Cricetulus griseus: one gene and its partner. The protein of the gene in region 2 purifies or fractionates together with the protein of the main gene of each other region. This does not show direct contact. Links are inferred from orthologs where the notes say so. Each region holds a gene or a part of one and is shown on either strand. Other genes may lie near its edges.

Region 1 (3,965 bases), on a different chromosome or scaffold from region 2:
CATGGGGGTCTTCATCTTAGTGGGAGTCAGGTTACCCATCGTACTGGTGGGCTTCACAGTGCCCCTGGTTGGCCTTTTGGTGGGCTACAGCCTAGCCATGTGCCTGAAGCTGCCAGTGGCCCAGCGGCGGACAGTCAGCATTGAGGTAGGGGTACAAAACAGCTTGCTAGCTTTAGCTATGCTGCAGCTGTCTCTGCGTCGCCTTCAAGCAGACTATGCCTCTCAGGCCCCCTTCATTGTGGCACTGAGTGGTACCTCCGAGATGCTGGCTTTGGTTATTGGCCAGTTCATCTACAGCAACTTGTTTCCTGTTCCATGAGGACCCTGGATCAAGTTTTATAACCCCAGCCCCCATACTCCATCCACTGTCCCCACAGTTCTGTACCAAAGGCCTTTTGTTCTCATGCACTATGCACTCAGACAAATCCAGGCTTTTTTTTTCCAGCTTTCAGTGCCAAAGAGGCCATGCTGAGTTAGAAATATATTTCAATAAAAGACAAAAGCAAGCTTGGGTCCCTTCCAGTCTTTGTCCCTTGGAGTGTATGGATGGGGATAGGAAGAGTGTGTCTGGGTTGATATGGACCAGGATGGTGAACAGGCTTGGTGACCGTGCACAGAGCCCACTCTCTCCTTCCTCTGTGCTTTGCACATGGTAGACAAGTGTTGTACCTTTGAGCTATATCTCCAGATCTGCAAAGGCTTTTCTCTATCAGAACAGGGCAGGACTCTGTTCTATAATGAGTGAAGAGATAGAGGCCTAGGTCCACTACTTTGGAGCCTCGGCCAGGATATTTTTGCAACCAGACTAGAAAGGAAGAAGTAGAAAGCCATTGGGCTATGGCAGGTAGGACTGGACCATTTCTGTATCTGAGAGACACTACTACATGTTTGCCCTGATGTGGTCCACCAGCAGGGTAGGAATTAACAGGTCAGGCCTTGCATGAGGCTGACATTCTGGTCCTTCCTTTCAAGCCACAGCTCCCCGGTGAAGCAAGCCTGACCCTACAGATTCCTCGCTCCTATCCCAGTGGGCGGAATGGCCCCACTTCCCTGCACCAAAGCCGCTGGAGGCTTGTGGGCCCAGGGCGGTGGACGCTACCCCAGGCTCAGGCAGGCGCAAAGGCCTGGAGGCGGGACCGGGCGGGAGCCACGCGGCGGGCTCGCCCCTTTCACGGCTTCCGGCGGCGGCGGGCGGTTCCGGCGCGCGCCCGGGGCAGCGGCGCGCGGCAGGGGACCATTGGGGTTTACATTGGTCCTAGTGGACGCGGCTGTGGGCATCATGCAGCTGACCGTGAAGGCGCTCCAGGGCCGGGAGTGCAGCCTACAGGTAAGGTTACCCTGCAGGCTGCTACACTCACACACTCCTGCCGCTGGGGCCAATGGCGGGCGGGGGAGGCCAGGAGAGCTAACCTCAGGAGGGGGCACTAGGGCTGCATCGCCCAGGGAATTCGGACTAAGCCCTTGCCTCTCCACCTCGGCCGGATCAGGTGCCGGAGGACGAGCTAGTGTCTACACTGAAGCATCTGGTCTCGGATAAGCTGAACGTCCCTGTGCGCCAGCAACGTCTGCTGTTCAAGGGCAAGGCCCTAACAGGTAACCAGGGAAAGGAGCCATCCAGGGACCCCCCACAGGAAGTAGGAAGTTGGAAGTTGGGGGACGGGATGTACAGGCCAGTGTAATGGATTAGAGCAGTGGCTGCCACTAAACCTTGGAAAAGTAGCTGAGACGCCACCACCCCATAGCCAGATGCTGCAGTGTTTCACTCTAGCTGTCCATGGCAGGATTGCTCTCTGGCCACCCCCACAACAATGAGGAAGGAACCCCACCAATCTCTCTTTGGCAGATGAGAAACGACTGTCAGATTACAACATTGGGCCCAATTCTAAACTCAACCTAGTCGTTAAACCTTTGGAGAAGGTGCTGCTGGAAGAAGGGTCTGCCCACAGACTGGTCGACTCCCCACCCCCACCCCTCTGGCAGCTGATCTCCAAAGTCCTGGCCCGTCACTTCAGTGTAGCAGATACCAGCAGGGTCCTGGAACAACTACAGAGGGTGAGCAGAATAATTCTGGACCTCCAATCTTAATGTTTCTAGCCCCAGCCCCCACCTATTACAGCATACCCCTTCCTGCTTGCACCCCCTGAACCCACCTGGTCTTCTCTTCTCAGGATTATGACAGATCTCTGAGCCGCCTAACACTGGATGACATTGAACGTTTGGCCAGCCGCTTTCTACACCCTGAAGTAACTGAGTCTATGGAAAAAGGGTTCTCCAAATAGCATTTCTGGGAGTGGGGGGAGAAATCCCAGGTCAGGCCACAGCTGCATGTTGCATTAAATGTGTTCTCATGTCGCAGTTTGGCTCATAGTGATAATAATAGCTGGTATGTACCCAGTTCTTGCTAGGTGCTAAGCACTACTCAAAGTACTTGGCCTGAATTCTCTTCTGCCTTCCACAGGACAGTTGAGGCTGCACTGTAGAAACACCTAGCAATGGCTTGGGACAGCCAGAATCCAAGTCTAGCCAGCTGTAGAAGTGCCTCTGTAGGAGAAAGAGTGTGTTGTTTTGAGGGATGGGCCTTAACATTCCCATTTAGCCCACTCAACATACACACTCAAGTGACTCCCTCAGGAAGCCACTAGTCCCTGTCACCTGTCCTCTAGTATGTCTGGCATACCCTTGGCAAATCTCCATAGGAAGCCAAGTGGTAGCCATCCAGAGTCCCTCTGCTGCTGCAGCCAGTGTGCTCTTGATGAATGACAAAGTCAGGGGCTGGAGGATCAGAAAGATACCCTAGCTCCGTTGTATGGCTTAAGTCAAGTTTCTGTGCCACTTAGGTCCCCTACCATTGAGTCTGTTAGTGGTGACCACTCCTCTGACCTGAATAAGTTTCCTTCCCTCTTTCCCGGCTCAAGGTGGGAGTCTGCTATCACCAACTGCAGTGCCATCTTGTGTTCAGTAAGCAAACTGAAGCCAAAAGTGAAGTGGTAGCCAAGCATGGGCCACAGATGGAATATCCTGGGCCTTTGTGACATAGCTCTTCTTGGGGGGACCCTATCTGCTTGGCTCCTCCTGGAAGTCGGTCTCATCCATGAGGGACAGCAGGTGACTCCACAAAGCAGTGTCACAACTAGGATTCTTCCTGGGTCTCCTCACCCAGCGTTCTCCCACAGCATGAGACGGATGCTTCCTCTGCCACCTGTGTACAGGGACTTTCAGTTTGCACACCTTCATTGCTTAAGAAGAAACTCAGGGTGCTGAGGAGGAGATAGAAATGTAAGCTGAAGACAGTGGTTCTTCTTTTCACTGAACCTATGCCTGGGTGCTAAAGGTCATGTAAGTACTAGCTCCTTTGAGGAGGACCCCCTGGGAGCAGTTGAGGCTGGAAGATAGCCACCTGCAGGACATTACTCCTGCCCCTCCACTCTTGCCAAGGAAGCAACTCTGAATGTTGTTGGGACTACACTGGCCTTTCTTGCCCAACGGCCTCCTGCATGGGCTTTGGGCCTTGTGGGACAAATCTTGACTCCCCATAATGGAATGATAAACTAAAGTGAGGCCTGAGGGGATGAGCAGCTGGTAGACCCTGCTCCTCCCTGAGACCTGGGGTACCACATCAGGGACCTGCTTGTGAGCACATATGTGGACTGGCAGCTCAGATAATAAGCTTACCAATGTCCTTGTTCACTTTGAGTCAGGGAATGTATTTGGAAAATTAAATAACACTTAAGGTGCATGTGAGACTTTTTACCAAGACGAACTCTATTAATAAACTAGTCTGCTTTTGGTTTCAAATAATTGGTTTAACAACACAGGAAACTTACTGGCTTACAAAAGTGAAAAAGCCCAGGAGTACTGGCAGTTGATGAACAATTTCACCAAACATCCAGCTTTTTTCCTGCCTCCCTCTGAATTCTCCAGCATCTGCTTCATCCTCACCACTACTTCCAAGGATCAAAGGGTGG
Region 2 (4,085 bases):
TGGAGACCAAAATTTGGATCTCCAGAACCCATGTAAAGGTGGACACTGTAATGACCCTATACTCCCAGGCTGCTCTGTTGAGATAAGAGGTGGAGAACTCCTGGAAACTCTCAGGTCATCTAGCCTAGTGTATACAGCAGTAAACAAGGGAGTCTCAAACAAGGTGGTGGAAGAGCAAACACCAATATATGGAGATGTCCTCTGACCTTTACAGTGGCACATGGGCATGGATATATGCATATGCTACACACACACACAGACACACAGACACACAGACACAGACACACAGACACAGACACACAGACACACACACACACACACACACACACACACACACACAGAGATTGAAACAGATGGACAAAATTCAGATATGACCTAAGTAAATCCCCAGCTTTCTTGTTACTCTTCCTGACATCATCCTTGACTTGCAATCCAGTTTCCATATGACAGCCAGACACGGATTTCTTTTCTTTTTTTTGGTTTTTCGAGACAGGGTTTCTCTGTGGCTTTGGAGGCTGCCCTGGAACTCTATCTATAGACCAGGCTGATTCTGTCTCCCAAGTGCTGGGATTAAAGGCATGAGCTACCACGGCCAGGTACTACTATATTTTTAAAGACAGGCTCTTCCTATGACAGGCCCTGCTGGCCTCAGATTCAGTGATCTATCTGCCTCTACTTTTCTAGTGCTGGGATGAAAGGTATGTGCCACCATGTCCAGCTCTTTTAGTTTATGAACTTGAGAGCTGGGGATGCAGTTAAGCACTGGCCTAGCATACTGGATGCCCTGAGCTTCATCTTAAGCAGCAGCAGCAGCAGCACCGCTGCCAACAACACAATAATAACAACAACAAAAACATGAGTATGGGGCTAGAGAGATGGTTCAGCAGTTAAGAATGTGTACTGCTCCTCCAGAGGACCCCCAATTACATAGGGGTGGGAGTTCACAATTGCCTGTAACTTCAGCTCAAGGGAGTCCTGATATCTCTGGCCCCTGTATATATAATTAAAAATAAAGTTAATCTTTAAAAGAATAGCTTTCTTTCTTTCTTTTTTTTTCAAGACAGGGTTTCTCTGTGTAGCTTTGGAGCCTATCCTGGTACTCGCTCCAGAGACCAGGCTGGCCTCAAATTCACAGAGATCCACCTGCCTCTGCCTCCCGAGTGCTGGGATTAAAGGTGTACGCCACCAATGCCTGGCAAAGAATAGCTTTCTTAAAAAAAAAAAAAAAAAAAAAAAGCTTTCTATCAAACTTTGACTCAAAGCCAAACTACTTGCTCAGCCAGCAAAACCTCACAGTGTTTACCTCTGGTTGGTCTTCCTCCTTTTCATTCCCTCCCTTTGCTTGCTTAGTTCCATTTTGTCATCTTTCTTCCTGTTCCTTAAAGGTTTCCTTCCCACATGTCCCTCTGGGGGGATGGGGACAGGGACACACCAAAGAGATGAATATGTAGACTATGAATGGCCTGGTGGCTGCTGGTAGGTATGCCCCCAGAAGACTTTATGGTTGGAGCTCACTGGTTAAGAGCACTGGCTGCCTTTCCTGAGGGCCTGGGCTCAATTCCCAGCACCCAGATGGTGGCTCATAACCATCTGCGACTCCAGTATTAGGGGATTTGATACCCTTTTCTGGCCTGCATGGGTATAAGGCATGCACCTGTCATTAAAACAAAACCAAAAAAAAAAAAAGGGGGGGGGGAACCTCAGCCTGAGAGGCCCCCAGCTAGCTTACCATAGCAAAGAGGTTGTCATAGCCTTTGACCTTGGTAGGCACCTTGGAGAACTTCTGATCAAAAGCATCTGAGATGTTGTGGGCTGGGTCTGTGGAAATGATTAGAACACTCTCACGTCCTTTAGACAGCTGGACCGCTAGGCTGCAGCTGCACAGAAGAAAGGTGGGAAGACAAGAAGTGAGGAGCCAGCTTTGGTAGTGTGGGTTTATAACAGGAAATGCAAGGTCGGGCCACAGAGACCTGGATCAGGCAGACCTTAAAAGCAAAGTACCGGTCCCATTGAGATCATGCTTTGATACCCGCAGAGATCACCACCTGACCCTTCCATTTGGACTGGACTGGTGTGCAGTTTTCAGTTGATTGGTTCGGCTTGTTTGAGTGCCTGCTTCTGCCTTTTTGGCATACAGTGGCACAGTCCAGCTGCACAGCCAGCACAGACTGCTCTACTTCACTCACTCCACTTGCTCAGGGACAACAATGTACTTCACCTCTCAATGGACTGTAATTATGTGCCTTTTACTCCTTCCCGCGCTGGGCATCAAATGGAAGGTTCGTCATACTATAACAGCTTCCACTGGTGTCCCTGCCTCTACTCTGAACTTCCTGGGGGGACTGTCCATCCGATTGCGGTATTTAAATGCTCCTCTGCACACCCCACGCGCTGGATTCACAAGGCCCAACGAGGGATAATCCAACCCAGAACGCCAGGCTTGCATTTAGGAGGTATCTTCGGCAAGCTGCCGTAACTTCCCGAGAGTACAACCCCGAAGAGCCCCGCTCAGCTCGCTTTGCCCCGCTTGGGATGAAAAGGCCGGTCCCTGTCCTCCCCTTCGTCCGGTGGTACATCCCACCCGCCTTCCTGGCCCCACCAGAGCCTCCTTACCTGCAGGTGGTCTTACCCACGCCACCCTTGCCCCCGACGAAGATCCACTTAAGGCTGCGCTGCTCGATGATATTGCTAAGCGTGGGTTCCAGCGGCTCCACGTCAGGAGCATCCTCGAACTCCTCTGCCTCAACCCCCCACCCGGCCACCCCCGCCGCCATCTTGGAGCCGGCTCACGTGATCAAGCGGAACGCACCACGTCCTAAGCAACTACAGGGGAAATGAGTCTGCCACATCCCTGTGCAGGCTGGAAGTCTGACTTATTTTCCTCCTGAGTTGACACTTGGGGACAATGGACGCTGTATTTTCCCGTTTTATGCGTCGAAGGTTCCCCTTGGTGAACTTTCGCCTGCAGTTTTCTAAGAATTCCCCTGCCTTGTGAGCGTAGTGGTGTGACCCACGGTAGTGCCCTTCACTGATTGGGTCCTCCGTCTTGCGGCACTCTTTCCATTGGCTGCATCCCGTCTTACTTCCGCTAGCCACGCTCAAGTCCCTGTGGGCGTCAACCTCTGTCTCCTTAGCAACCAGCCAAACATCCTGTCTAAGCTCTTTGAACGAAGTTACAGCAGAGGTGTCTCTTGCCTCGATTCTATAGGCTCCGTTTCCTGATTATCTTTTCCCTCTTTCTTTCTGCTTTGGACCTCAACGTCTCTTCTTGTCCGCCAGTTACTCTGTTGGCTGTGAGCCACCTGACTCCGGCCGCAAAACGATCACGAACGAAATGGTTAGTAGGGTCGCTAAAAGGCAAAGAGACTCCATTTGTGGCAGAGCACGCAGACCTTTGTCCCGTGTGCCCGGAATACCCATGCTGGGCAGGAGTGCTATTTGTCACAGTCGAGAGAACTTTAACTTCCGAAACTCTAGCTGCGCTTGGCGCTCTGCTCACCCCCATCCCCGTGCACACGTGTGTGCTCCAAGTCTAGCCAGTGCTGTCTGAACTGAGTCCCTGTCCTCGGGGAAGAGTACGAGGAGGGTTCTTAGTCCCTTGGTGCAGAACCCAGCTCAGAACATTAAGTCTTAAGAGAAGGATCAGGCTGGAAATATCTCCGGCTTCATTTGAGTGCTCAACTTGTAAAATACTACGACTCTCAGACAGGGCGTCTAGCTGCACGCAGCCAGCAGTATCCTTACTTAAAGGTAAGAGATTAAATGCCGAGGCAGATGCCCGGTCTAGAGAAGCTCCCGTTTCTAATAGGAGGTGCCGAGTCAGACAGATATGCTTTCTAGACCTAGTTAGGGGCCACCCAAGTTCCCAAGTGTACGCAAACAACATTCTTTCAATTACAGAGTTCTGGTGGCCGACTATGATTGTGCTCTCAGCCTTTAGAGGGATCGCGGGCCCCAGACGATGGTTCCATTCTGTCTGGCAGGATTAGGGAAATCCGAGGAACAGAAGGCAAGGAACCCGGCTTCTAGGCTCCACCCACTGGTCGCCAGGTCAGAGCACCTTTGCCCCGCCCAAGTCCCGCCCA

The links. The genes of interacting proteins can lie anywhere in the genome.
Region 1: the proteins of Get3 (region 2) and Ubl4a purify together in Homo sapiens (affinity purification with mass spectrometry; 4 studies listed by BioGRID and IntAct, with this or other methods). This does not show direct contact. The link is inferred for Cricetulus griseus from reciprocal best matches to the Homo sapiens genes GET3 and UBL4A.

What each region holds. Positions count from the first base shown.
Region 1 is NC_048604.1:1,347,720-1,351,684, forward strand, and holds the start of Ubl4a (ubiquitin-like protein 4A), read left to right. Parts: upstream 1-1,165; 5' UTR 1,166-1,279; coding exon 1,280-1,327; intron 1,328-1,487; coding exon 1,488-1,593; intron 1,594-1,843; coding exon 1,844-2,052; intron 2,053-2,168; coding exon 2,169-2,243; coding exon of another isoform or gene 2,244-2,279; exon of another isoform or gene 2,280-2,915; coding exon 2,916-3,032; 3' UTR 3,033-3,965. Other genes in the region: Slc10a3 (P3 protein), read left to right, coding at 1-319. UniProt on the Homo sapiens protein: As part of a cytosolic protein quality control complex, the BAG6/BAT3 complex, maintains misfolded and hydrophobic patches-containing proteins in a soluble state and participates in their proper delivery to the endoplasmic reticulum or alternatively can promote their sorting to the proteasome where they undergo degradation.
Region 2 is NC_048596.1:159,342,156-159,346,240, reverse strand, and holds the start of Get3 (ATPase GET3), read right to left. Parts: upstream 2,801-4,085; 5' UTR 2,775-2,800; coding exon 2,614-2,774; intron 1,878-2,613; coding exon 1,730-1,877; intron 1-1,729.